Linked DNA regions of Astyanax mexicanus. The protein of the gene in region 1 purifies or fractionates together with the protein of each later gene. This does not show direct contact. Links are inferred from orthologs where the notes say so. Each region holds a gene or a part of one and is shown on either strand. Other genes may lie near its edges. The genes, in order: gtpbp4 and mrto4.

Region 1 (16,081 bases):
ATGCTTGGCCAGTCCATCACCTTTACCTTTAGCTTCCTCAGCAAGTCAGTTGTCATCTTATAGCGCTTTTCCATCAAAAGATCTCTAGTTCTGTTTGGACTCATAAGAACCGCGATGCTTTTCAGTAAACGTACCGGCACTGTTTGCTGATGTGGACGGAGTCGGAGAGCCCAGCACGCAGTCCAGCACCTCATAAAACACCGGTACACTCCCCTGCCCAGCTCCAGGCTTTTTTGTGCATCAGCTTCAGAAGAGGCTCCGTTCTTGCAATGCAGACAGTGCAATGCAGAGTTAATGCAGTGTGTGGCGGAAGGACTGAGCACTGCAGGCTGACCTCCCACTTCTTCAAGCTCTGCAGCAATGCTGGCAGCAATTATTTTTATAAAGCCAATCTGTTGTCCCATGAAAAGATCTAATAATATATTTACACAAATGTGAGTGGTGTACTCACTTTGCAAGATACTGCAGATGTTTTATATTGTCTATTATGAATGGAACAGAGAAAGGGGTGTTAGATTAGCTGAGTATTAATCTCTCAATTAATATCACTTACCTTGTCTACTTTGTACTCAAGCCAAATGAAGGTCTATAATCGTATAGAAATTAAATCTCTCTTCTCGTCTCTTTCTCTCTGGCTTCTTTTTTCCCCTCTAGACTTGCCGAAGGCAGCTGTACGTATCCTAAGCAATGTGACGTTTTTGTTCGTGAGTTTGTCGTACACAGCGGAGTGTGCCATCGTCACAGCCTTCATCACCTTCATCCCCAAGTTCATTGAATCCCAGTTTGGGGTTCCAGCATCCAGTGCCAGCATCTACACAGGTAAAAAGAAATAAAATAAATACAAATCTTACATAGATGAACTCCTACACAGATGGCTGTGCTATAAATTAGTGGCACACTATATGAACAAAAATTGATATACAGTAACGCTGTTTGGTATCACAATGTCAATGTAAAAAGCAATAAATTAATTAATTAATCTTAATTAGGGAACATTGGAAAAGGGTTCAGACAGAGTGGCCAGTCATTATATTATTACCTTAACAGAGTGGACTAGGTGTAAGCATGTTAGTGCTGTGATGCTAACAGACAAAGCAGTCATCCTTGAATGGGTTAGCAGCAACATTGATGCAATTTTTGCTTGGTTTTGTGTCTTAAAGGGGCACTAAACCCGCAGTTGACTCAACTCATATTTGAAAAAGCCTGAAAAATGGGAGGGGTAGTTTGGGAGAGGCCCTGGATGATGTATGGGTTTAGAGATAAGCAGAAGGAATAGCTGATTGGCTGAGCAGCAGCAGCAGTGTACCTCTGATAGTGGTGAGACGCAGGTGGTTGGGTGTCAGCAGGGGGGGCGTTATTATTGATAGACTGATCTGCATATTGTGAGTGTTTTGTGTACCAAAGTACACAGAAACATCCTCCACGCCTATAGCACAGTTGAACCTGAGAGAGCACTGCGGAGGCAGAAATGTCTACAATAAAAGGCTTTTTTTTAAGGTTAGAAAATGTTCATAAAAATGTTAAGCAGGTCTGGTATGTTTAATTACTTTCAAAGGAACACATTTTAGCTATTATTGGAAAAAACATGGTTTATGGTTTAGTAGTTATTGAAACGCTGCTGCTGCTGCTACTAATGGGGATGCTGCTACTACATCAGGTTAAGTAGAAGTTTGGTGTGTGGGTTCTTTGTGAAACTATGCCTCACTCTACCTCCATATTGTGATAAAGAAGAAAATACAAGTAATCACACCACCCTACTGTAAGTGTTTATTTCTCTCTCCTGTGGTGTTGTGTGTGTTGCAGGGTTGATCATTGTGCCGAGTGCTGGTGTGGGGATAGTGCTGGGAGGATATATCATAAAGAAGCTGAAGCTGGGCGCGAGAGAGTCGGCTAAACTAGCCATGATCTGTAGTGGAGTGTCTTTGCTCTGTTTCTCCACACTTTTCATCGTTGGCTGTGAGAGCATAAATTTAGGAGGAATCAACATTCCCTACACTACTGGGTATGAATATTCAACATCAATGATCTATTTACTCATTTATCAGCAAATAATATATCAGCTGATTATGTACTAGTGGAACTCCAAGTTCCAAGTCCTGCTGGAAAATAAAATCCACTGTTTTGCCTAATTTGATTATTCTCTCTCTTTCTCTCTCTCTCTCTCTATTTCTTTCTCCCTTCACACTCTTTTCAGGCCTACCTTGACTTTGTCTCATCGGAATCTAACTGGAGGGTGTAATGTGAACTGTGGTTGCCGGATGCATGACTACGCTCCAGTGTGCGGTTCAGATGGAATTACGTATTTTAACCCCTGCCTGGCTGGCTGCAACAGTGTCTCCAACGACAGCTCAGGAGTAAGGGCTTATACTTATTTCTAACAGAGTTTTGATCAAAAGAGTTTCGAGATTTTAAATCAATATTTCTCTCAAAAGAAAATGCAAAAATGTATCTATCCTGTAATGGCCCGAAAGAGGTTTCTTCACATTAACTGCTCACTTTAGGTGCTTCCACAACATTTCGATTGAATTAAGTTCAGGACTTTGACTTAGTTGAACAACTTGTGTCATTGTCTTGCTGCATGACCCACCTTCTCTGTTAAGATTCAGCTCATGGACTGATGTCCTGATATTTTCCTTTCTTTTAAATTAGATTTATATGTACTGTAGTCTAATGTTTGTATTTGTGCAGCACTTTGGTCAAGTAATGTTGTTTAAAATGTACTATAATTATAAATAAATTGACTAACATTTTAGAATTCTCTGATAAAATGTAGGATTTATGGTTCCGTCTCACTTGCTTAAATCAATTCAGTTTGATTAAGTAATGATATTGTCTCTAAAAAAGTTTTATTTCCCAGTGTGATAAATAACAAATGTCAGGACAACACACTTGTAACACACACAGCATTGTTAATTTTAATTTAATTTATTGATTTTGATCTTTTCATTAAAAAGTGTATTAGATTTAGTTATTGTTAGTTTTAGTCTAGTGTTTAATAATGTAAAGTGTATGTACACACTTATTAAATACATATCTGTTAAATTAAACACATTTCAGATCAGGAAATTATAGAAGAAATGTAGAAGAAAAACGAGCAATATTCCTTTTAAAGTATTGGATATAATGTTATATTAAGACTAAACAGGACCAAAAATTATCTTGTCAGTTTTGCAATATTATTACTGTGTCTACATTATTCGTTACCAAAGCACTTTTCTCTAATGTGTGTGAGTATGTCCAGTAGGGTTGTGCCATACCGTATCGTTCGCCAACGTTTTTGAATATCATGAACAACATTTTACACTGAAATATCGTGCTATATCACTCACCCCTAATTATCACATCAGGGTACTACTTTTTTTTTTTAACTGGGTTTATCAAAAGAAAATTTCACACTGTTCTCATTTCACATTTAATATCTACTAGAGACAGATTATATATCATTTATTTTACTTTTATTTTGGATATATGGAGATATTGGGAGTGCATTATTAGTATCATAACATTCTGGATCATTTAATTCTGTTACAAATCTGATAACATTCTTGTCTCAATTAGCTTGCAATATCATATGTTATGCAATAATAAAATGTAATTTTCATTTTGTTGCAGTAGTGTACTCTTGAAATATGTTTTCTTATTTAATATATATTTAATATTCTATTTTTTTAATTCAATGTTTTAATACCATAAAATGCTGTGATATTATTTTAGAGCCATATTACCCACCCCTAATGTCAATTATGCAGGTTATAAGCAGTCCTTTTTGTGATCACATAAAGCTTTGTTTGGATAAGCAAGTAAATCTGCATAAAGTTTGGGTTGTCGATATAACCTGTTAAAACATATATGTAATAAATTAGCAGTAAGATTATTCAATTATTAATATACTTAATCATGATAGCCCTAATAAAATCCAGTTATTTTAAACAAATTCTTCCCATGAAAACAACATATGGATTCATTTTCTTTAGACAGTGAATACACACATAGTAATCCTTTTTTTTTCCTTACAGATGAAGAACTATTCGGACTGTGCGTGTGTACAGAGCAGACAGGTGATCACTCCCTCCGGAGGAAATCACGAGCTGCAACTGGTCATTGTGAAGACGTACTTAAACGAGAATGGCTATGCGCTTGCTGGCAAATGCGAGCGCACCTGTGGAACTCTCATAACCTTCCTCATCTTCCTCTTCATCGTCACCCTCATCACTGCTTGTGCCCAGCCTTCGGCTATCATTGTTACCCTCAGGTATATTTCAGGCTTTCTCTCTATGTAGAAAAACGTATACATTTTGCCATTTTAACAATTGAATGAGTGGTTAATCTATATCTGTCATGCTTTCCTCTGTACTTTAATTATGAATTTACCTCAGCAGTGCTATCCTAAACATGAATTTACTTCAGCAGTGCAATTTTAACCATACATTTATCTCAGCAATGCTACTCAAGTCAGAAAATTTACACAGATCAAGGCAGTCTTTTGATAAACAATCAAATGCTCAGCTAATGTTACTTTCCTGCCTTGTACAGCTCATATCTTTCAGCTGGAAAACAGACAGTTTGTAAACAAAAGTGAAAAGTGATGCTGAGCACTTTATGTTGTTCGAATAGAGCCTGTAAACTTAAATTGTCCCTTTCTGTCCAACAGTGATTTAAAAAAAAATCCTGAAGTTAGAGGAAACCCTGCAATAAGACTTCAAATAATTTATACAAAACAATGGTTAATTTATTTTATCTTCTATTTTATTCTGTGTCTTACACTGTTTGGTTGCCAAATATTTGGCAAGATTCTCACAGCAAAATGTGTTTTTGCCAAAATCTTATTTTCTGACTAAATCTGATATTTAGTTTAAGCTGTTCACACCATCTATTTAATGTCTGACATCTGTCTGAATAGTTCACGCTTTGTAAGTGGTATGCAGTGTGACAGCAGTGCTTCACGTTAAGTTTTACTTTAATCCTTGAGTCATTGGGGAGTGGAACTTTGATCTCTGGAATGATGGTGTTCCAGTCAGTACTTCTGGGATGAGTTGGGGAGTTGGATGAGGTGGGGTAGTGGTCATCCAACTTACTGACCTTGCCAACAATGACATTTCTAATGTTTACACGTGAAAATGGTGAGAGCTTGTGGTTAAAATACATATCTATCCTTATTTATCCATAGGTCTGTGGAGGAACAGGAGCGGCCGTTTGCTCTGGGAATGCAGTTTGTTCTTCTCAGGACTCTTGGTATGGACACACGCAAAAAGTGTTGTATAAAATTATTAGGCGAATAATATGAGTGTAATATAATGTAGGACATTGTTTATATTGAGTGTGACTATCAAAGCAGCGTGTAAGACTGGTGGAGTAGAACATGCATGCAAACTGTGATTAAAAACCAACCAGGGTTATTCCACCAAATATTGATTTCTGAACTCTTACAACTTTATGAATATGAACTTATTTGAGGTCTGAAAGCTCTGCATCTTTTTTTGTTATTTCCGACATTTCTCATTTTCTGCAAATAAATGTGCCAAATGACAATGTATGTATTTGAAATTTGTGAGAAATGTTGTCTGTAGTTTATAGAATAAAACAGCAATGTTCATTTTACTCAAACATATACCTATAAATAGCAAAATCAGAGAAACTTAATCAGAAACTGAAGTGGTCTCTTCATTATTTTCCATAACTGTATTTTTTAAAAGGAAATTAAAATATTAGCTAGTAAACAACTGCTTAACTATTTTGAACTGCATGTCTGTAGGTCTATATGTGGTCATATGTCAATCAAATTAGCCATTATTATGCTTATACAAATGTTAAACCACATAAAATCAGTATCAGTGTCATTTTACATGTTAAATTTAAAAGTGTGTTAAATGATTGGGGAGAAAATGAACTAACTGTACTCGTCTCTCTCCCTCCAGCCTACATACCTACTCCCATCTATTTTGGCGCAGTGATTGACACCACCTGCATGCTGTGGCAGCAGGACTGTGGCGTTCACGGCTCCTGCTGGGAGTATGATGTCACTTCCCTGCGCTTTGTCTACTTTGGCTTGGCCGCCAGCCTCAAGTTCCTGGGCTTCCTCTTCATCTTCCTCACCTGGTACTCGCTGAAGCGGCGCGAGGACCACACGCACTCGCACACCCGCCCCGTATCACCACTGGACACAGTGAGCCAGCTGATTTGCCACGCAGGGGGGCACAAGGGTCACGCCCGTACACGTTCCTGTCCCGTCTTCCTGCCCCGCCCCCCTGAACCCTGCCACACTGCTATAATAGCATCCGGTCAGCCCCTCAGTCGTGGCAACAGTTGTCCTGGCAATGGCCTGAAAGCAATAACTCCACCGATCAGGTCTCTGGAGAAGGTGGTGATATGAGATATGAGGAATTTTGCAGATATAAACACACACATACACACACGCGCATTATTAAACATACTTATAGGACATGCATACCTGAAGAACAGGTGGAGTTTCCAGCTTTGCTCCAAATGTCCAAATGTGAAGAGTTCCCTCATCTTTGCCATTGCTGGTGCCTTTTTCTTCTGAATTAGACACGCACTCATGCACAAGGTTTGGAAAACACTGGACTCAATACCTCAAAAGGACCTGTACCTCTTTACTTATCCTTACACAGACCCATGGCCAGTATCTCCTTCTTCTTTTACATGCATATATACACACACAAACACACACACACACTCATAGTAAAAAAAAATAAAATAAAAAAAATAGTTGCACCCAGAAGGAAACGTTGGATTGCTATTCTGAAGGACGATAAATGTTCCAAGGATCAGGAAATAATAACAAAAAAATAAATAAACTTGATATGGGCATTAGTTATTGATCTACACATACAGAGGTGGCATCTCTCTGTCTGATGTCGGACCACGAGTCACAGTACACAAGCCTTCTGGTCAGCATTAATTTTTTTGTTTGTTTGTTTGTTTTTTGCAAAAAAACTCAGTTCAGAAGCTCTCGTTCAGTTGTGTTGTAAACTGCAGAAAAGCAATTGCAGAGCTGTCACAGAGTGATTAACGAAGAGTGGTAAAAACCAAGCAAATATCTAGCAGGTTTAATATCTAGACCAGTCGGCAACAGTGAGTTAACAGTGAACAGGAACTTGACTACCTACAGCCAATAGTATAGCATAAAAAGAAAGAACCACTTGATAACCAAGATATCTTCTACGTGGCATCGCTAGTGCTCGCGTGCATTTAGCTCTTGCTTCTCGTTTAAAACACGTTTTTGAGAGAAGGCAGATGAAGAAAATTGTGAGACGACTCGCAATTACAGCCCAACCAGTTGTGTAGTGTGAACAACACAATGACCTGATGACTCAAAAGGACATATATTGTGAACCAGACATAACAAAACATGTCAGACGTCTCAGTATGGAGTTGTCCATTCCTGCAGGCTTAGCTGTAGAGGTGGAGAGTTGACCATCTAAATGTGACTATGACCATCTACCCACTAAGTCACGTTCCTGTTGAATGATTCCTTCTGGGTAACTATTATTTTTTATGATGAGTATAGACACACACACACACACACTCTCTTTCTCTCTCTCTCTCTCATGGTTGTTTTTACGGAGCCAGTACTGTATCCCTTTCTTCTTACCCGTACACGCACAAAGTCTCTTGATTATATTGATACATTTTACAGGGTTTTTTTGCACACACTTGTCTGTCCCCAGTCCTGTCAGTTCCTCTCATTGTCATCTAGTGTGTTTTCATCCGTCAGCACCGTTAAAAAGACTCTGGTATTGCTGGTACTGCGGGAACACTCACATTCTAGTCCACCAAGCCTCTGATTGGTCACTCACCTCGTGGCTTGATTGGTTGATTGATTAGTGAATTGGGCTGTTCATATCAGTTTCAGGTATTGTGGACTGCAGTAAGGAGGAATAAGCTGGGACTCAAACTGGAAACTATACTATGCAAACTTTCCTCTCATTCTTAAAAACAACTGTAAAGATTCAACCCTACAGGTCTGAACACTCTCACACGAAATCGAAACAAGTTGTGTTTTGGAGATTGGAGAAGTATTGACAAAGTGAAAAAGTATTACCCGCAGTGGAAACCGTCTCACTGCTGATCTGCACTAAAGGGACTGTGTGTCTTCTACACTGGATTCAAGTAATAATGGAAGAGGAATTAAGTATTGTTTCAAAGTGTTTCAAACTGTTTTTCTTATCAGAAAAAAAACTGCAACTGGGTGTTTTAATGTCTAAATTAAAGATATTTTGAAAAAAAAAAACTGTTGGTTGTCTTTTCCTGGATATCCACACTTTTGCAAATGTGCTGTTTTAAATGATGAATACAACACTTCATTATAAGTCCAACACAAAGACATTTTTTGTTTGCTTATTGTTTGTGAGCAAAATGACCATTGACAGAATGTACTTTTGCAGACTGTAAACTATTATGAGTCCAGTGTCAGTCCTTAGTTTATATTGCAAAGGACAATCATCCAGGTCTAAAACAATAGGGGGCAGTAGAGCAGAAGTAATGGATTTTTTTAAGTATTTGCCTAACTTGTAATACCATGCTTTAAAGCATGTAAACCATATAGATTCCTCCATACAGAACAGTTTCATTGCCATTTCATTAAATGAACTGCTGTTTCAGCTCCACTGACCACATTTTTATCTGAATTTATCACACTTTGACTTGACTTGGCCCCATTACAAAACATTACCTTTATTCTGCTTTAACTATTCTTTGTTAGAACAACTTGTGTGCTTATGGTCATTGTCTTGCTGCATGACCCACAATTTTGTGAGATTCAGCTCCCAGACCTGTGTCCTTAAAGTTTCCTACTGAATTTGCTGGAATAGTTCTGAATGTATTGTTCCATTAATAAAAAATATATATTTATATTCATCTGTCCACAAAACATGCTTCCAGTAGCTATGTGAGCTTTAGCAGACTGTACATTGGCAGCAATGTTATTTTTAAGTGCAAAATTCAAAGACCATTAAGAGTGAGATGTTCTTCTTAACTTTAACTTTACATTTAGCTAACAATATAAGTATATTAATGCTATAATGTCGATCTATCTTATGTCTTACATTATTAAACCACCTTAAACATGTTAAATGTGGAGAGAAACAGATAAAGGACTACAATCTGCAGCTAATAGAACTACATAGACCATACTACATAAACCAGCCATGTGTTTAACCACGTGGTGGCAGTGTGGGCGCGTGCTTGTCTCGCGTGCGTGTCTGCGCTGTTGTGCGCATGCGCGGCTGACGCTTGGCCGCGTGTTGAGCTGTACTGGGTCTTTTCCGGCGGTGAGGAGCGGAGCACGGCGCGCGGAGACATGGCGCTCTACAACTTTAAAAAGATCATGGTGGTCCCCACCGCCAAGGTACGAGCTGCCGGGCCCGAGCCCCGGCCCCGCGGGTTTATACGGGGGTTAATACAGCGCGAGCGGGGGGTGTTAGCGCTGGTCGGGCGCTCGAGGGTTATAGACACGTGCTGCCGTTGGTCCGGGCTAAGTTAAAGAGCTCGTGCTAACCGGACCTGCGGCCTTAGCAGCACCAGCACCACTAACTAACCTAAAGCTCCTATGACTGACCCACACTTCCAAAAATGTAATTTCTGTGTTTTATTTATATTAAAACCAAACATATTCAGTTTAGTAGCCTATATTAGCCGCACAGACCTAAACTAACCTGCCTAACACCATGTAAACTAGATTAACTAGCTATACACAGTAAATAGAAATAGTATAGCTAATGTATTCAGTGTGTTAACCTAGCTAGATATAGGTATAAACAGTCAGTGGTGATTTGAGCCCTGTGTTTTTGGAAATGTTCTGTACTAGTCCCTGAATTCTGGATTTAAAACCAGAGTACATTAAGTGACACCACACATAATTCACACAAAATATAGAAATAGCTTTATTTACCATAAAGACTTATTTTTCTGTTGAAAACACAGATAAAAAATAAAAATATTTACAGCTGTTACAGCTATAGAATATTGCTAGCCTGCTGGCTGTATGTATTTAAAATGTCACAGATGTGAAAATATAGACATATCTTTATCCTAAACATATTTCTTCTGTTAAAACTGATAAATTAAATTATATCTAACTATAGCTACTATAGATTTAGAACATCGGTAGCCCGATGTGATGCTTTTTTTTGTCAAAATAGATTTTGAGCCGTACCTATTGATAATGTTTTGTAATGGTTAAATTATAAACAGTGCAATGTTTGTGGAAATGTATTTTTACTTAACACATCAAGTTTAGTAGCCTATATTAGCCTCAAAGACCAAATGGTTAGTTATACAACTAACCTACCTAACACCATATAAAATAGGTTAATTAGCTATACACAATTAATATAAATAGTATAGCTAGTTAACTTATATCTTCGATGTTATAGATGAGATTGGTTGTTAGCGGTGTGAAACAACCAGTGGTGGTTTGAGCCCTATGTTTTGGGAATGTTCTGTACTAGTACTGGAATTCTGAATATATAACCTATGTACATTAAGTGATACCTCCTAAAATTTAAACAAAATATAGAAAATAGAATGTATTCATCTATAACTATAGAACATGGTTAGCCTGCTAGCTGTATGTATTTAATGTGTCAAGAGATGTGACCTTTTTTACCAGTATATATTTTGTTTTATAATAAAAGACTAGATAAACTAGTCAGGTAATATAAATAGCAAGCTAATATATTTAGTGTGTTAACCTAGCAAGATGTGCATTATCTACAGTAGTCATTTGTATGTGATGTACCTAAATGTAATCCCTTTTCTTCTGTTTATTTTGACAGGACTTCATAGATGTGACGCTGTCCAAAACACAACGTAAAACCCCCACTGTGATCCATAAACACTATCAGATCCACCGCATCCGTCATTTCTACATGCGCAAGGTCAAGTTCACCCAGCAGAACTACCACGACCGCCTGACGCAGATCCTCACTGACTTCCCAAAGCTGGATGTGAGTTAAAGCAGTTAAACATGGAAATTGCTATTGCATGTTGTTACAATACAATAGCTGTTACAATAGCTTTATTGTTTATAGAATATTTATTTTATTAATATATTGTCATTGTAAGACAATTGTGTGCAATCCATTTAAGAACCAATGAAATATAAATTATTAAGACCATTTGGACATCATTATTGGAGTACATATTTTTTAAATATCCTAAATAAATTAATTTGTCAACATATCGGCGCCTTCACGGCCATTTAGGAGCTTTCCTTTCTAAGATTAATATAGTCAGTACTGCTAATATCAGCAAATAGTATTAAGGTCGTGTACATACAGTATATTAGACTGTAAGTTGATGTAATTATTGTGGCTGGTCTATTTGTTTCTGTTCATCTGGAAGGTGTTACATTTGGTTTAAGTATTGTTTTTTTTTTCTCCCTGTCTTTTAGGATATCCACCCATTCTATGCTGATCTGATGAATGTGTTGTACGATAAGGACCATTACAAGCTGGCTCTGGGTCAGATCAACATTGCCAAGAACCTAATTGATAAGTAAGTATTCTAGTTCTAGTAAGAGGTCTAGTTAAAGAAAAGTCACTATTAAACATATATTACAAGTATGATTAATTTGCTTCTGATTTCCTTATCATCCGGGTGAAAACCTAATACGGCATCTGTGTAATATATATATATATATCTGTGTAATGTGTTTATTCCTTGTGTGTTAATGTAGCGTTGCTAAAGACTATGTGCGCCTGATGAAGTATGGCGACTCTTTATATCGCTGTAAGCAGCTGAAGAGAGCAGCACTCGGACGCATGTGTACCATCTTAAAGAGACAGAAACAGAGTCTGGAGTACCTGGAGCAAGGTAAACACTCACACAAAATGAAAGCAAAGCAAGCCATCTAATGTCCCTAACTTTACAGAGGATGAGTAATGATTTTTTTTTTCTTGTGCTTGTATATTATTAGTTCGTCAGCATCTCTCACGTCTGCCTACCATTGATCCAAACACCAGAACACTGTTGCTTTGTGGATACCCTAATGTCGGCAAATCCAGCTTCATCAACAAGGTGTGTGTGTGATAGAGAGGGAAATGAGAATGTTACGATTACATTTTTTATGGAACATTATTAAGTTCAAGGTATAATTTGTGGGGTGCGTGTATGTTTTGAAAAAAAAAAGTTGGACCCAGAAGATGTTAGATTGTAATTATTCTAATATTGGTCATTATTTATTAAGCTACACATACATAAGTGGCGTGAAACACAACATGCCAGACGTCTCTGCATGGAGTTGTAGAGGTTCCTAATGGAGTCCTGTAATAATCCATATCCACATGCAGCTAAAATATTCATACTCGGCTCCTAAAGATTGTACAGTTGGGAAAATCTGGAGTGTTGATGGGTGAATCCAGTAGCATCCTGCCCTTTATCAATCAGGGATAGGACTGCTGAAGCAACTGGCCATGGCATGTATATGTGTCTTTAAGGCAAGCTCAGAAGAATACAGGACATTGGAATAGCGCACTGCATGTGTGTTATAGAAAAGTAGGGCCTCTTGTTGCAGGACGTCATTGACATAACTTTGGGCAGTCAAAGTGCCTGTAATGAAGACAAAAAGTGATCTAGCATTGCACGAATTTGAACCCCAAACCATGACACCAGGCCTTCTGCCCTCTGTTATGTATGGCAATAAATCATTGATTGTGGCTCAGATCACTTTGCCTCCACACACTGATTTATTGGTCGCCTTTGTCCATGACAGTCAGGCATGATTAACAAGTTTCAGTCCTGTTGGTTGATTTCTTCTGGGTGCAAATATTTTGTTTGTGTGAAAGTAGAAGTAATGTTATTAGTAACCAGAGCTGAGACAGTTTGTGCAGTCTGTGTTGTAATAATCGAGGACTGTGTGCACACAGGTAACCCGTGCAGATGTGGAGGTACAGCCATATGCCTTCACTACTAAATCTCTGTTTGTGGGTCACATGGACTACAAGTATCTGCGCTGGCAGGTGAGTGTTATGTTGCTTCATTAAGCTTTAACTATGTATCTATAAAAGGCTGTAAGAAAATTCTAGTATGCTTATGATAGGGATATTAGATTCAGTTTAAAATGTTTTAAATATTAAGTAACAACAGCAAGCTAAGCTTCAGAATCCGTGTATCATTCGTTCATTTGATATTCAATTGAGAATCAAAATCGGAAAATTAAAAAACCAATTCGTTTTTTCGTTTTTGAATATAATACCAAAAAACGAATAACGGCTTGTATTTTGTATTTTTATTTGGTTATCCAAACAAAAATTGGAAATTTAAAAAACGGACCAGGAGCCGAATTTGATTTTGATTTTGAACTTGACCCATTTGTGTGCCCCGGAAGTTACTGATTTGTTTATTCTTGGTGGGTTTCTGTTGCGCGGGAGTTCACTGCAGTGTTATCTACACAGTCTGTATTGCTGTAGGCAGCATGGCCGGACTGGAACCACATTCTGGCCTAATTAAAGATCTTTTTGAAGGTGGTAAGACGCATGAAGAGATTTCGTGCACGTTGCAGCAAATGGGGATCCAGCGATGTTCTGCAATGAGTGTTAGAAGGTTCTGTGTTCAACACGACCTTAAGCGAAAAAGACATGTATCGAACACAGAATTGGAGAGGGCCGTTGAGGATGGAGAGTTTTATCTTGTTCAGAGGAACTAAACGCGTTGCAGTGAAAGAAGACGATATGACAACAGAAAAAATCGGCAGGATCTTTCAGGTGTTTGTCTAACGTTCCGTAGCTAAATGTCATATTTATTTAATGTTATTCTGTGAATTGCCGCCTACTAAATATGACATTTAGCTACGGAACGTTAGACAAACACCTGAAAGATCCTGCCGATTTTTTCTGTTGTCATATCGTCTTCTTTCACTGCAACGCGTTTAGTTCCTCTGAACAAGATAAAACTCTCCATCCTCAACTCCATCCAAAGCCTACAGCAATACAGACTGTGTAGATAACACTGCAGTGAACTCCCGCGCAACAGAAACCCACCAAGAATAAACAAATCAGTAACTTCCGGGGCACACAAATGGGTCAAGTTCAAAATCAAAATCAAATTCGGCTCCTGGTCCGTTTTTTAAATTTCCAATTTTTGTTTGGATAACCAAATAAAAATACAAAATACAAGCCGTTATTCGTTTTTTGGTATTATATTCAAAAACGAAAAAACGAAAAAACGAATTGGTTTTTTAATTTTCCGATTTTGATTCTCAATTGAATATCAAATGAACGAATGATACACGGATTCTTCAGGCCCCCTACACCTTCTTTTTGAGTGTAACCCTTAGGGGGTGAAATCCTCCCCCTAAGAATTGCGACAATCCTCAAGCACCCAACCTAGTTGCTGCTGGTTAACTAGATAACTTTAAGGCCTAATTGTATATCTTCAGAAAGGGGAGAGATAAAATTAATTAATATTGTCCGTTTCTTAATTTGTCTGTAAAGGGGAGCTGAAATTAGCTTTGATTTGCTTTGATTTTATTTTATTTTCTCGTTAAGCCTTAAATTTTGCAGCCCCTGCCGTCTGTTGCGCCTTTTAAGGTGGAGCGGGAAAGTTAGCTAGCTACTAAGACAAACTACTAGCAATCTTTTTATGAAGCATTTGGCCATAAAACATTAAAACTACACAATAAACTTTGGTAATACTGTGCTAATTCTCACTTTTAACAGGGAAAATATTTACATTTGTGTGTTTCTTATTAGCGATTCTCATACTCCTCAGTTTTAAGTGTTCCTCTGAAAAATCTCCGTATGAAGGCCTAACAAGCCCTATCCCTTCCCCTAACCTACCCCCCAGCCTAACAAGAATCTGGACACTCCTAATGCTCGGCATGCACACGCAAAACAGAGGGCTAGGGGTAAGTGGTAGGGCAAAGGGGTGAAATAGGATTAGGCCATAGTATTAGTAGTGGTGCACCCTACCCAGCACATTTGAGAGGATTGCCTGCTTTAACACAGTAACTGCATATTGCTAAAAAGGGTTGTAAATGAGCTGATTAGTTGAACCATGTGTGTTGGGAGATAGGAAAGCTGTACATTTGCAGGGCAGAAGGAGTGTCAGGACCATCTATGGATGTGTTCATTTGTGCTTGATGTGTACAGCTGTAACATTTAAGTAAATCGAGTGTTATATAGTAAAAATGGATAATGGATAAAACAGGTGCCGAGTTCTTAGTGGACCTTGGATTTAGTTCAGAGGAGGGTCTAAATGCTTGTCTTGACCGTCTGCAGGTGGTGGACACCCCAGGTATCTTGGACCACCCTCTGGAAGAGCGGAACACGATTGAGATGCAGGCGATCACAGCGCTTGCTCACCTGCGGGCTGCTGTGCTGTACGTGATGGACCCCTCTGAGCAGTGTGGACACACCCTCTCACAGCAGTTCGAACTGTTCAGCAACATCAGACCCCTGTTCGCTAATAAGGTCAGTTTTTTTTCTTTCTTTTTCTGACTCTCTGACACACACCACTCTCTGAATGTTAGATTATTAATCTGTGTTTGTGTGTGTGTTCTGCAGCCCCTGATTATAGTTGCCAATAAGTGTGATGTGAAGAAGATAAGTGAGCTGTCAGAAGAGAATCAGGTGAGTTTTCTGTTCTGTTACACAAAGGAATCCTATAGGATTTAAATATTTTGGGGGAGTAAAACCTGATTTAATTGTTCTTCAGTTTGTGTGAATCATATCTGTTGTGTTGTAGTTGAGCACATGACAGTGGGTGAGGAGCCTGGTGGATCATTGATTAGCAGTTTTAGTAACTGTTAGCATTGGTTATGTTCTGTATCCTTAAGGGATAGTTATTGTAATGTTAAGAAACTAGATAGAAGCTTCAGTAAAAGTAAAGCAGAGTGGTGGATCTGTGAGGTTTCTCTCCTCTTTAGCATGTATTGAATTAATTAGTGGTGTGAGAAAAACTGTCTAGATTCCCAAAGCAGAGAATATGTATAGGTTATGTGCACAGATTGGAGTTTGTTTTGTTTCTGGGAATGGGACAGTATATTGTAATAAAAGGCATCAGTGTGAATTCTGTGAATATTCCTGCAGAGCCACATTATAAAACAGGTGCCTACACTAAA
Region 2 (14,956 bases), on another chromosome or scaffold:
AATTACTAATTTGTACTGTATAAAATAAAGAGCTTAAGTGTATTATGACTTGATTTTTTTTTTTAAAGAAAAAAAAATGCAGGAGAAATTTGGTGTAAAACATGGTAACAACCTTTGTAGAATAGCCCACTTCCGTTAGCCCTCAGTATTCTGAAATACAGCACTTTTACCTGATGCTTTCCAACTGTTGTTTAAAATATCTTTATAATATGCATATAATCATGCATTTCCACAGAATTCATTTAGCAAACTTTTCCCCCCCAAACTTACCTACCTATTTGGTTTGTGCTTGGCGGTAGGTTTTCACGACTACCTTCTAAAAATGTGGTGCCCCGAGACCTACCTGAAGTGTATATAAAGTGTTTTTAATAAACTATCTGTGCACTTTTAAAGTCCTCAGTGCCTTGTTTTAAATGCCAGGGCTCTCAGAATTCTACCAATAAAGCGTGGAGCTACTTTGAGCTTGTTAATGGTGCAAAATAGCCTTTTTTTTCTTTGCACGGGTAAATTTATGCCCCCATCAGTAGCATTGTAAGCTTGCTGGGAGCATCAGCTAAAAAAACGCTTTATTTAGGAATGCTGAGGGAGAACAGAGGTGAGCTATTTTACATAAATTTATACTCATTCACTCGTTTCACTACAACCCAAATCCATTTTAATCTGGAGTTCTCCTTTAAAATCTGAATATTTTTACTTTTTATTTTTTCAACAGAATAGCTTTCATTTTAATTATGCAAAATTCCAAACTATAGTAAATGCTGAAACACACAGTTAACATGACATCTGGATTGGATGGGATTTAATCTATTTTTTTTTCCCTGATATCCAATCCACCATTTATTTTACTGATAGTCATTTTGAGATCAATATCCATTAATAATTACATGTCATTTGTAAATGTGGAAGCTGACAGTTTTGTGAACAATTTCAAACAGCCCTATGTTTTTTTTCTATCTTATCAGAGGTAGTGGATTCCACACAGAAGCTGATAACCTCCATTATTGATGTATATTTTAAGGAAAGAATCAAAAACACAATGATGTACAAAACTGAACTTGCTGGGTAACGGTTAGTCTGGATCACACACTCCAGAAACAAAACACACAGATATATAACCTGCTGCTGAAGGTCTGCTTGCACAATCTGATATAAAACATCCAAGAGAAAAAGTCCATTGACCACACACTCCTCCTCCAGTTTATTCAATCCCTTCATCCTCCTCTTCATCATCCTCCTCAAGATCTCTCTGGTCTCCTTCATCACCATCCAACATCTCAAAGTCTCCAGATTCAGAGTTCCACATACACTTTATGCTCAATTTGAATTCGGCCATTTCAAACCCAAAGAGTTTCTGGAATAAATTAAGAGATCAGATCAGTCTCTGTGAATAGAATACTCTTCATTCACTTAAAATACACTCTTTAACATCACTTTTATTCTAAGTGTTTTTAAGGTCTTTATACAGATACAAAATACAGCTGCAAAGTCTCCAACAGATGAATTTTATATATAATATCATGCAGAAACATCTACTTAACCTGATCATTAATTAATGAGTTAATCCAAAGAGGCCAGCAAAAAAACACTGGTCTCTTTGGACCCAAATCGAAGAACCCTGATTTAGTGTAAACTGTACCTTCCTCTACAGCAAACTGACAGTTCATCATTATTTTTATTACATTTATTTTAATTCTGAAATGTACTGGGATTATCTAAATTCAATAAAACATGAAGCCACATTTTTTTAGGATGTGCAGAATAACTTTTTATAGAATTAATTACAACAGTATTACTTATAAGAGCAAGAAATACCCATGTGAAAATTAGAAACTAAAAAGTATAATTAAATGTATGGTTGCATAATGTATGCATTTCCACCTGTGAACTGCACATATACCTCTTAATGTTGTCTAGTACAGATTAGTACAGATCTTTTTTTTATGTTATTGTTTAAAAATAAATAAATAAAATAAAAAAAAAAATTCTCAATTGTTAAAATACGAGTGTTACAATTAAGATTCGTATTCCTCACACAGTTTACAACTTCAGTTGTTTTATTTTAAACAAACACCACCATGTAAAAGTGATGCACAAGCTGTAGTTTTCCATATATTTTATTCTTTTTTTTGTAAGCAGCCCCCTTTTATCTTAACTGCAGCATTTATTATATTAAACATGGTGCAAAAATAACCTCCTTGTATTTCAAGGAAAAGAGTGAAATATATATAATATATAATCACTGCAACATAAAAAAAGGTTCTTTACAGGTTTCTGACAGAAACAAATATCTATAAACTGAGATTCACTCTGCAGCTTCTATGTGTAAAGATGAACAGTCTCAATTATGCCATTTTGGAAATCACATTAAAACATTATTTTCATGAATTTAATTAATTAAATGAACCTCCCAGCCCTACTAAAGCCCGAAATGATGTCAAGGCTACTCACCAGGATACGAGCCTGTTCAGGAGTGAGCGTGTCTCCCTCTTTACACACTTCATAATCTTTTATTAATGTCACCACTCCTGCAAAAAAACACACATTATACATTTTCATTAGCATTTTGAAAATTCGGATTAAAATCAATGGAACAAATTAAAACAATTTCCCATTAATTTAAACATAACTGAGAGTCGAGGCTAGTGTCTGAAGCTCACCTCTTTAGAGTTATGGACTAATGTGGTTTATATGTAAATTAAGTTTGTAGAACCTGAACAGCACTGTGCAAACTATTCACTTCACTATCACTTATCTGATTACATAATCATCTCAAAGCTTACTTTTAACTAATTGCATCCTGTATCATTATGAATGAGGTGTTACATATAAATCAGCCTGGACGTCATAATATAATAAGAAATAACATGGTATTATATAAATCGTATTATACAGTCATAAGCCTGTCTTACAACATTAGGCAAGTTATTAGATTATTAGGTTTTATTTACATTTTTGACTAAACCTCCAAAGTTATATTATGTTTTTGGGTGTAATTACATTAGTGGGAACTTAACAAAATCCATGTACGTTAAAAGGAATCTCAAAAGTAGGTTTATTTATGTTTTTTCTTCAAATGTATGACACACTTATCCCTATAAATGACAAATGTATGTCACCTGGCTAAAACCAGCAGAATCAGCCTTAGCAAAAAAATGAAATTTGTCTGTACTGGTATGTTCTTTAGTGTTTAAAGTGTGTTCTTCAGTGTCAAAAACTACTTAAACCACCAACAGGACAGCATTTTTGTCAATTTTCTTTCTGATATTACCTGCATAAATCTTGAGGATTTCTATTAATTGATATTTCTATATTTTCTAATTTAGCGTTACATAAAAAGGTTTCGTGCATGATAAGAAACATTACTAAATATCCTAATTGTAAGAAAATATTTACACATTTAAAAGTAAACCTGTCTAAATAAAACAAATTAAAAAAAAAAAGTCAATGTGCTTTCTAAACCTTATTTTTTTTAAATCAATATTTTCATCATACAAACATTGCTTGTCCTCCAAACCTTTAGTTTCGTTACAGATGTCTAGTCTTTCATGTATACTTTCAGACATGCAGAATTTGGGTTTTTCCTTTTACTAATCTGAAATTAAGTAAAGTAGAAAGAGAGTGGACAGGAAGTTTCTCCAAAGCCCTAAAAGGTTTGTATGTAAATGTAAATAACTTTTTTTTTTATTGTAGAGAAATAGGGTTTTGTATCATCTACATTTGTAGCCTGTATACGGGCCAAGGCCTTTTAAGGGGATAAGCCAATCAACTGAGATTACTTAAAAAATTGACATTATTTGATGCATCTGCTGATTTAGGCATGAAATTTGACGTTGGCCTCGTAGTTGCTTAGCGTAGCTTAAGAAGCAAACAATGCGTGGTCTCTGATTTTATAATAGAATACTGTAAAATGTGATTTCTAGCAAAATCAGAGATTAAGTTGGTTTAAATCATTTTAAATGAAAAAACTTTTTCTCCAAAAGCTTTTTTTTTTTTACCTTTTTTGAGAGCCGTGGGCAGTCCTAACTGTCTGAGCTGGGGCTCCATAGAGTGTGTGAACTGTTCTAGCGGCCCTTCGTCCAGCGTCACCGCCATCTGTGCAACATTACCAGACCGTGCGTAATCTACCTCCTTGAAACTGTTAAAATACCTAAACAAGGACACAAACATTCAACACTGCATCAAAATGCGAGATTTGAGTTTATTTTAACCCCATACAAAAGCACAGTCTATGAAAGAAGATAATTAAGACAATTTATACTAAATCAAGGCAGGCAGACTTGGGTGCATCTTTTGGTTCAAAGACCATGTGTTTTTTCATAATTTCAACACTATAGCACTTACTCTTGGACCTCCTCCTTGGTTTTGTTCGTGAACAAGACGCCCACCTCTCCTCTCAGAAATTTGCTGACCTATAAGACAGACAAGCACAAGGTTGTAAACCCAGCACAAAAGCTTCTTCATAACTTTATTTGTGAATATAGTTAAATAATTTGCATACCCGGTGCAAATTATCCTTGTATTCATCTGTTGGTCCTTTCCCGAGTGCGATCATCATCACCTTATTCTTTCCAAAAAAGAAACTTAAACACAAAACATGCATTTATATTAGAAAATACACAACTTAGCATTCCAGCTGTGATAAAATACACTAAAACAACGGGGTTTCAGAAAATTCAGTAAAGTATATTTAGTATCTCTCACCGGCTGTGTTTCCAAGCTGCTCTGATATCTTTCAGTTTGTTGTTTCTCATGTTTTCCACAGAGAATATGAACACGTATCTGTATGTGTCTACACATTTTCTGAGCTGGAAGGAGAGATGATGATACACAAATTAATACATTAACACATATATCAAATCAGGCATTACAGAATATTGCATAGCATGAAATATAACATGTTAGGCACTATTTTATGGTCCTTTTATAGATTACAAATCTATCAACCTACCAACAAACCAACCTGATTATAGAATGAATATACTAGTGTAATATACCATCAGTAAATTTTACATTTCATTTGTAAATCAAGGGAGCAGAGTCTGGAGGAAGAGTGGAGAGACACACAGTCCAAACTGCTCGAGGTCTCGTGTGAAGTTTCCACCAATCAGTGATGGTTTGTTTGGAGAGTCATGTCTGTCATCTGCTGGTGTTGATCCACTGTGTTTTATTATCAAGTCTAAAGTCAGTGCAGTTTTGTTTTCCCACAAAATCTTACAGCACTTCATGCTTTCCTCTGCTACTGACAACTTTTATGGAGGTGCGGATTTTATTTTCCAGCAGGACTTGGCACACTGCCCACACTGACAAAAGTACCAATCGGTCTTATATAATATCCTTAAATTTTTAGATTTTTGGGTTTTTATTGGCTGTAAGCCATAATCATCAACAATAAAATAAATAGACGCTTAAAATAGATCGCTCTGTGTTTAATACATCTACATAATATATGAGTTTCACATTTTGAATTGAATTACTGTAATAAAATAATGTGAATAGTTTTCAATGATATTCATTTTTTTTAGATGCAATAGTATTAGCTCTCTAGATGTTGCAGGGAAGGTCATGGTAGGACACTGATAACATTTTAAAAACAGTAATGTTGCTCTTAACAAAAATTAATTGACGTAAATGTGGGGTGTATTAAAAATAACTAGACCTAATTTTACTAATATGAAGAAAAAAGAAAAAGAACAAAACACTAACCTCTTCAATCAGGTTCTGCTTTGCTTCTAGACCCTTTTTGGCTGTTTTTGTCAAGGAGACTGTAAAGAGAGAAGGTTGATTAATTAATAAAAAGGCACAAAACATATAAAAAAAACTGATCCACAGACCCATACTGAATAAGTTAACTGCGTTCACTAGTTCACAGCAAGCTAACAGGGGTAAAATAAGTGTAACACGTGTAGAAAGTTAACAAAGCATCACCAGCTACAGCCTAACTGTTAGTTAACTGTTATTTATGTACAGAAAAGGAAGAAAAGACAGAAAACAATCCATATTTTTACTAAAACTAAAACTAAATAATTAGTTCCTGCTTTGCTTCTAGACTCTTTTTGTCTGTTTTTGTCAAGGAGACTGTAAAGAGAGAAGGTTATCTAATTAATGAAAAGGCACAAAACATATAAAAACACATTACAACATGATCCACAGAGCCATACTGGATAAGTTAACTACGTTCACTAGTTTACAGCAAGCTAACTGTTATTTATGTACAAAAAAGGAGGAAAAGACAGAAAATAATCCATATTTTTACTAAAACTTTTACTAAAACTATTAAAACTATTTTGTTTTACTAAAACTATATAAATAGGTTCTGCTTTGCTTCTAGACTCATTTTGGCTGTTTTTCTCAAGGAGACTGTAGAGAAAGAAGGTTTATGAATTAATGAAAAGGCACAAAACACATAAAAAACAAACATATAAATACACATTACTACATGATCCACAGACCCATACTGTTTAAGTTAACTACGTTGACTGGTTTACAGCAAGCTAAAAGGGCCAAAATGAGTGTAAAAAGCTAACAAAGCATCACCAGCTACAGCTTAACTGTTATTTATGTACAAAAAAGGAAGAAAAGCCAGAAAATAATCCATATTTTTACTAAAACTATGTACATACACACAAACACACACACGCTGGTAGTGTTTAGCTCCTGCCTGTTAGCCAGGCATGCTGCCCAGCCGTTTCTCTGTAGGTTTTAATGCTAATCTAAGAAGAGTCAGTGACTTCTTTAAGAATAAAGCAGATTATTGAGGTAAAATATCGACGAAAACACTTTTAAACCGGTTTAAATACCTTTCTTATCCCTCTTCGACTTCGGCATGGCTCTCACGTTGCTCTCTCTCTTCTTCTAAGACTTAGAAACTGCGCTAAAACCCCGCACTGCCCCCTACCGCAGCCTGCAGAGCCTGAGAGAGCATGTGTGAAGCAGGAAGCAGGTATGTGATGAGAAAGTTACAGCTCTTCACCAACAGGTGGCGCCAAAATCAACAAAATAAATGAGTCTCAAATTTCCAATTTAATGCTTTCACTGATTTGGAGAATTCTTCTAAAGGATTGAATATAGTTAAACTATATTGCCCATTGTATTTATTGTATTTATCCCCCCCCCCCCCCATTGTTTATTTATTTAATAAAAATTCGCATTACCTGCATTTGCGTCCGCCTCCACGTCTTTCTGCCTGCATTCCCTGACACATTAAAACATTCATTTTACTGTGGAACGGATGTTGGATGATGTGCTATGGATTACAATGCCACTTTAGCTCATCCCTAATGCACTGAATGGAGGTCCATCACTCCATAGAACACAGTTCCACTGCCACACAGTCCCAAAACGCTCGGGGGTCGTTATACTCCTCTAGCCAACACCGTTCTATTGGTCAGTGCTTTTCTATGGAGCTTATCATACATACACTCTGTACAACAGTATGCCTGACTAGCTTTGTCAGCAGTATGTGCAGCTTGTAATAGTAACAGGAGGCCTGTCTGGATACTATTGAAAATATAATGTATTTACTGCAGTATTGCAGCCTGCTTCTTGCCACGGCTGCAAAACCTTTAAAATTACTCAATATGAACAAATATTTTCCATTACAACAATCTTTCTCAGTTTAAATTAGTTAATCTACAAAAGTGGATATACAAAGCATATTTTTATTGCTCTAAAGCAGAAGAATCAGTATTTTTTGCTAGGTAAGCTGTACAAAACACACATTTCCTCTGAGTAAATGTAAGGAGAGTTGCATCTGAGCCACTTTGTAGAAATCAGATTATAAAACAGCCCACGGTTATGTAAGAATGTACTCATATTAGGTGTGTTTCAAGAGCAGGTACTGAGATGCTTCAGAGAAATGATTATTTCTGAAGGATGCTCGAGACTGCACACGCTTGCAGGGTTATATAATAATTTGACTCTTCTCTAGAGATGATGGCTCATTAACCTTTATTATATAACGATGGAAAGACAGGTCATAACATACAGCAATAGGCTTTTAAGCTTTTGCAAAGAATGAATCATATCTTGTTACTGTGGCAAATATACAGAAACCCATCACATAGGATACTTTATAGTTCTATATAACTACAGACTGTAGTCCTGTATCTGTTTACTTTTCTATTTACATATTTTATTTGTTACTTTATTATTATTATCTTCCTTTCATCCAGTTTTTCACCACAGAGCAGCTATTACTGTTATTATTTTGATGGAAGGTCTTATTATTCTCAGCACTGCAGTGACTGTACTTGCATGGTGGTGGTGTATGAGGTGTTAGTGTGTGTTGTGCTGGTACAGGTGGATCAGATACAGCAGTGCTGTGTCTGTGACGTAGGCGTAGTTTTTTTTTAATGCTATTTTTATTTTATATAAAGTTGGTGTAATAATCACAATATAGCAAAGTAACAATTCAAACTATGTTCATAAAAAAAGTTGCACAAGTGCGCCGTGAACACTCCACTCTGCCTTACGCACTTGACTTGTTTGTGTTTTAATCTGTTGGAGATCTATTCTTATTCAAAAGGTTATTTTTACTGGAGAAAGTATTTTTTTTAGATGACTTTTTACTTCTACTCCTCACATTTTCACACAATTATCTGAACTTTTTACTCCCTAAATTTTAAAAATAGATTGGATGAGGAGTATAAACATATACCATTGCGACACCCTATTGGTTTATACTGTGATATACCTTTATACTTTTTTATATATTTTTATACCTTTTAACAAAACATAATGAATTCCATGAAGATTTATAAATTCTGGAACATTTACTTCTCAAATTATGACATTTTTGAGCAGCTCTATGTCTTCTGGTATGAAGGAAAATAATAGCATGTGGCTGTCTCCTAACATAACTGTGTTATTAAACAAGTCAAAGGGGAACTGACAAAATAGGCTGGGGTTCAAATGGTTAACATTTTAACCTAATATTATAGACAATATGGTTTAAATTTTTTTTTATACTTTAAGCAGTTTCACATTTTTACTTGAGTTAAAATAATATATATTATTTACTTTTATCAAAATCTATTAGTTTATGATCTTATTCCTCAGAATCTGAACGCATAGGATGGGCATGGAACGAATGTAGGCGTGGTTTATGCAATGGGCGTGTTTGTAGTGGGCGTGGCCTGTAGCCCTGCAGTCCGACTCCTGCCTCTGACCGGAGGGGGGCGTGGCTCTCGATGCGGTCACTGCGCTTTAGCGCCGCTGTAATACGACCCGTTATCTGCTGGATATAAACCAAGAAACCGGGCTGCTGAATTTCTGCTGCTGCTACTGCTGAAGGAGCACGCGGTGAGAGGAGCTGGAGGTGACAGCTCGGGGAGGTGACAGTGCTTTATTATTAGTAGTATAAAACGTGAGTTTTAAGTGATAAAAGCTGAAATAAAACTTTTATTTTATTTTTTTGCGATTTCTCAGGATGAAGTCGAGCTGACCCGCTCTTGAGACGCGAATTAACTAACTGGATGGACTGAATAATTACAAACTGGTTAAAAACTGCTGAAACATGCTGAAAAGATAGGAAAATACGCATAGTGATGGTGGAGTCACTCGCCGTCACTGTTCCGCTTGAGTTTGGAGGTTTATTGGATGTTTTAGACGTGGGCAGACGTTAAAAACAGTGGGTTTGGACTGTTCGGATAGCTAACTAGCGCTAGCTCTATCATACAGATAGAGCGGCTGGCTCCAGTACCGCAGCAGCCGTACCGCAGCGCTACACACAGTGGCTCAACCCAGGATGAGCTCGCTGCTATTCGGCGACGGTCTGCCCCCGGCCGCCGCGATGCTCACGACCCTCCCGGGAGGTATCGGTGGTATCGGAGGGTCCGGAGCGCCCGCAGCCGCCCTGAGGAACGACCTGGGCTCCAACATCCACGTCCTGAAGACGCTGAACCTGCGCTTCCGCTGCTTCCTCGCCAAAGTCCACGAGTTGGAGCGGCGGAACAAGCTGCTGGAGAGCCAGCTGCAGCAAGCCGCCGAGCGGGCCAGGTACCACAGCCTGTTCGCGCGGGACGTCGCGGTGCAGACCGACTCCCCGCAGGAGCCGCGGCTGCCCGGCACGATCTGGAGCTACACGCACGTGCGGAGGTCCGGGGAGCGGGTGGAGACCCTGCACGGGCCCGGGGTGTCCTGGACCCATCCGGACGGGGTCGGGGTGCAGATCGATACCATCACTCCGGAGCTCCGAGCCCTGTACAACGTACTGGCCAAGGTGAAGAGAGAGAGGGACGAGTACAAGAGAAAGTAAGTGTCCTGTTTAAATAAGGCTAGTTTATATTTTTAAATGATGAGTGATTTCAGCACTCCAGCATGTTTATCTTCATGTGCTTTCATACTGCATAAATTCATATATATGCATTACAGCCTACTGTGTTTATACTGAGTCCCAAATAGGGGGCCCTAAACAATTTTACAACATTACCATATGAAAAATAGGGAAAAAATATTTAATTCATTTCAATAATATACATACTTCTGCAACAAAACACATGTTAAAACATTGTTCTTCATTCATTTATTAATTTCGTTTTTGTTGTTTTGTAGCAACAGAAACTTAACAACTTACCTATTATTTTTTATTGCACTACTGTACAGATCTGGAAAAAATAAGAGACCATTTAAAATAATGAGTTTCTTTGATTTTACCAAATTGTGGCATAAAGTGGCATAAAGTTATCCAAAAGCAGTGTGTATGCTCATTTTACTCAAACATATACCTATAAATAGCGACATTAGAGAAGCAGAAACTAAACTGGTCTCTTATTTTTTTCCAGAGCTGTACTTAAGTACTAAAATACTGTATCTGTATCTCCTGGGGTATTATATTTACTTCACTACTGTACTTAAGTACTAAAATACTGTATCTGTATCTCCTGGGGTATTATATTTACTTCACTACTGTACTTAAGTACTAAAATACTGTATCTGTATCTACTGGAGTATTATTTTTACTTCACTACTGTACTTAAGTACTAAAATACTGTATCTGTATCTACTGGAGTATTATTTTTCTCCTACTTACACTTTTACTTTACCACATATGTTGGATGAGTTTAATAGTTTTCCTCCGATACATTTTTTATGTGCTGCATCATTACTCGTTACAGTTATTGATTACTCAGATAGAAATAGAAGAAGTATCAACTCATGCTTTTTCTCAAGTAAAAGTGTAATAGTAGTGGTTTCAAAACTAAACATAATTTAAGGTGAAATATGTGAGATATTTGCCTATGTGAGATAAAGGTCTTCTAAAGTTGTTTTCGAACAGTCTTGAATGTCTGGAACTTGTTGGCTGCTTTTCTTTTGCATGTGTGGTCTAACTCATCCCAAGCCATTTTAATTGGCATTAGGTCATGTGACTGTGGCAGGCAAACACTTTTGGTATTCTGCATTTTATCCTACAATGTAGAAATGAATAAAGATAACCTTTGACTGGTTCTGATTATATATGGCTTTAGATTGACTTAGATCTCTTGAGCCCCAGTCCAGGCCCAATGCTATAAAACCACAGCTGGTCCTGAAATTAGTTAATACCTACAAACATTGACTCCTTGAGTACAGACTGATTTACAGTACAGTCCTGAAATCTGCCTTTTTGTAACATTTCCCAAACATGGCAGGTCTACAGCTTAATAGAACTGCACTGGATTTAAAGCCTCTGCTCCATGTTTTTTGTTGCTGAAGGCAGACTGATTCATTGCAGTGGAATATCTTGGCAGCAGAACAGCAAAAATGACCAGACTGCTTTAGAGTGGAACCCAAAGGAAGGGGCGTGTTTTTAAAATGTGTTTTTGGAGGACAGGCTTTGATGAATAAAGGGTATTGAAGGCTCTTGGTTCAGCATAGCTAAGTAATTCATAGCCCACAGCAGGGGTCCTTAACTCTAGTTCTGCGAGGCTGGTGTCCAGCACAGTTTCCTTAGTCAAATACTGGATGTGGAATCACATCATGGAGTCGTTGAGTGATGGGATGAATCAGATATGTGTCAGCTGGGAAATTACTGAAATGGACAGATGATTTTCCTAGATTTTAGTAATATCACATGGTCATTCAGGTGAATTAATACTGTATTTGTAAGGATGTTATACTTACAAACCATGGAAGGAATTGAAAATGGTGCACCTTCTTAACTTTTTAAGTTTTCTAGCAATATTTTGATAAAATATACAGTCAAAGACGTTATTAATATGGAGACTATCTCTTGGAACACTAAACTTAGTCGCTGTTTATGGATAGTCAAAGTCAAGCCCTTCAACAAAAAGAGCCAATTCAGTCCAATAGAGATCAAGTGTTGGCATGCTGGTGGGGAAGCCTTTCCTCATTATGGAGATCTGTGCAAGCTCACTATCCATACCAGTATGAATAATCTCATTTTTTGTGCTTTATTAAGACAAACGCTACTACTAGTCTTTATCACGATTTAAAATGTCTTTTTTAAACAGTAATCTGACCTTCAGTTTCCAGAATTGTGGTCTCTCCCTATTCAAATAGATGAAAAGCTGGTCCTGCATAACTAGAAATAACTTAATAAAGTTGGTCGCCAAATTGATTGACTTTTCTGTAATGACGTTGTTCGGATCTTTGGCCGTTTGGATCAGGATAGTCACAATTACACAGTAACAGTCAGGCTTAGCAGAGTTGCACCAAGTTAGCCATGATGCTATAAGCCTGGCTCAGCAGGGTTGGAGCAGCAATGCTAACAGTTGGCCTAGGTAGAGTTGGAGCTGCAATGCTAACAAACATAGCATTCAGGCTGAAGATTCTAAAGTGTGTTTAGTAGCTGCTTTTCCTGGTCTTTGTAACACCATTGTAATAATCAAGCAGGAGAGGCTTAATAAACAATAAACAATTAATTTTGGTCTGAGATACTGGTGCATTAGCATGTGGCAGAAATTATTTACTCTCAGAACTCACATATTGTTCCTTTAAATAGTGTTAAATAGTTGTTTTTCCATAGTTGACTGGCTTTCTTATAATACATACTTGGACATTTCTTGGAGATACTTCTGTAAAACTTCTGGCTGTAATTACCTACTTATGGATACTTGATCATAAATGGCTAAGGTGTTTGAAGTTGTTTGGAAGGAATGAATATGGGACATTTAACTGAACAATTTTCTGTGGATATTCAGTACAGAATCATATCCTATTTTAACGCAGTGCCACCTGAGGGTCCGAAGATCACCAGCATCCAGTATGGACTGTTGGCTGACTTGTACTTTACACTGAATCTTTTGATGATGTTATGTACTGTACGGTATATACTCTGGAACCGTCCCACACTGGAGGCACTAGAAGCCCCCTACACTTCCCTGTTTTCCCCTCACACACAGTATCATCAGATAATTATCACATCTCTGAGCTGAATCACTTGTGGCAGAAAAAAGGAAACAGTAGTCGCCAGTTTATGAGAAGGAAACTTCTCTTCTGTGTTTTTCAGGCTTGTTTGTTTGTTAAGGGAGTTGCCTGGAGATGCTTCTGTAGAACTTCTGGCTCTAATGAGCAGCGACTGAGCCGTATGTGGGCGCTTGATCAAAAATTACTTAGGTGTTTGAAGTCATTTGAAAGGAATGTGGGACATTTCATCCTGTTCTCTGTATTTTTCTGCATTGCTCTCTTTTCTATGAGCTTTTGGGATTCATTTGCTTTATGAAAACAGTGGACATTCACCAACAAATGGCTGGCTAAACATACAGTATACTGCGTTGCCACTTTGTTGGGAAAACATACAGTACCAACACTGTATCAAAAGTTTGGAAACATCTCTTAATATTCAATGTGTTTTCTTTCTTTTAATGATTTTTTTTACATTGTAAATTTAATATGGAAGACTATTTAAAAACTATACAGGAACACATGCAGAATTATTCTGTAAACAAACAGAATATATTTTATACTTTAGATTCTTCTAAATAGCACATGTATCTTTGAGGACAAATCTGCAGACTCTTGGTGAGATTTTAATCTCAGTATCTTCATGAGGGAGAGTCCCCTGGAATAGTTTTCTCAGCGTCTTGAAGGAAGGAGTTCCTGGAGGTGCTGAACAATAGCTGCTGCTTTTCCTTCACGCTGTGAAGCTCCAGCTCATCCCAATTAAATCACCTCAAATCACCATCTCAGTTCATCAGGTTTAGATTAAGAAAGAAATAAAGAAAAACACTGAATGAGCTCTTGACTGGTATTGTACCTTATACCTGCAGCAGCTGGCTACCTACAATATGCATTATAAATTAAAATAATTTTTAAAAAGTATTTAGAAAGAGTTATTTGAATCATGTGGAACACAGGAACCCATTTTGGTTCTCATTTTGGAGAACCACTTATAAAGTTAAATGATCTTCACATCAGGTTTTTACTAGTGTACGGATGTTTTTTCATACAATGCTTTCTTAAAGAAAGTGTAAAGAACCTTCTATTAGGGAGTAAATACACTTTTTGTGGAGTTGTACATTTAAGACTTGATGTAATTATACGTATTCCCTATAAGGCAATGCAAAAGCATTTCTCTATAGCCAGGGGCCTCAGCTTTGGTTCTGGAGGCCAACTGTCTAGCATTTGTTAGTGCTTTCCCTGCCCCCAGCACACCTGACCCAACACCTGACCCAACACCTGACCCAACTAATCAATTCAGATACATCAAGTCTTTACCTAAAGTGTTAAGATAAAGTGGTCCAGTCTTGGGAAACACTGTTCTTTACTAATGAAGAAGAACCATGTTTAAAGAACCATGTTAAAAGCTTCTGTACCAGTCACAAATAACCCTTTAACTCAAAATCATTTCAGTGATTTAAAGTTTTGATAATGACATTTGATAATGAAATTTGAATAATGAAAAATAGATGAAGTAACACATTGCATGTAGGACCTTTATGTATCATATTTGAATCAATGAATCAATGTTACACTGACTGACTTTTTTACAGAACTGCCCTAAGGCCTTCTGCCAGCC

The links.
Region 2: the proteins of gtpbp4 (region 1) and mrto4 purify together in Homo sapiens (affinity purification with mass spectrometry; 3 studies listed by BioGRID and IntAct, counting the BioPlex papers as one, with this or other methods). This does not show direct contact. The link is inferred for Astyanax mexicanus from reciprocal best matches to the Homo sapiens genes GTPBP4 and MRTO4.

Annotation. Positions count from the first base shown.
Region 1 is NC_064411.1:28,250,815-28,266,895, reverse strand, and holds the start of gtpbp4 (nucleolar GTP-binding protein 1), read left to right. Parts: upstream 1-9,224; 5' UTR 9,225-9,319; coding exon 9,320-9,367; intron 9,368-10,796; coding exon 10,797-10,967; intron 10,968-11,413; coding exon 11,414-11,517; intron 11,518-11,698; coding exon 11,699-11,835; intron 11,836-11,938; coding exon 11,939-12,039; intron 12,040-12,887; coding exon 12,888-12,980; intron 12,981-15,239; coding exon 15,240-15,431; intron 15,432-15,524; coding exon 15,525-15,590; intron 15,591-16,081. Other genes in the region: slco5a1a (solute carrier organic anion transporter family member 5A1a), read left to right, coding at 655-819, 1,804-2,002, 2,195-2,354, 4,017-4,252, 5,168-5,232, 5,916-6,370. UniProt on the Homo sapiens protein: Involved in the biogenesis of the 60S ribosomal subunit. Acts as a TP53 repressor, preventing TP53 stabilization and cell cycle arrest.
Region 2 is NC_064431.1:3,983,327-3,998,282, reverse strand, and holds mrto4 (mRNA turnover protein 4 homolog), read right to left. Parts: upstream 6,924-14,956; 5' UTR 6,826-6,923; coding exon 6,798-6,825; intron 5,763-6,797; coding exon 5,704-5,762; intron 4,806-5,703; coding exon 4,702-4,805; intron 4,581-4,701; coding exon 4,499-4,580; intron 4,410-4,498; coding exon 4,342-4,409; intron 4,148-4,341; coding exon 3,996-4,147; intron 2,526-3,995; coding exon 2,449-2,525; intron 1,352-2,448; coding exon 1,199-1,351; 3' UTR 772-1,198; downstream 1-771. Other genes in the region: iffo2b (intermediate filament family orphan 2), read left to right, coding at 9,746-10,251. UniProt on the Homo sapiens protein: Component of the ribosome assembly machinery. Nuclear paralog of the ribosomal protein P0, it binds pre-60S subunits at an early stage of assembly in the nucleolus, and is replaced by P0 in cytoplasmic pre-60S subunits and mature 80S ribosomes.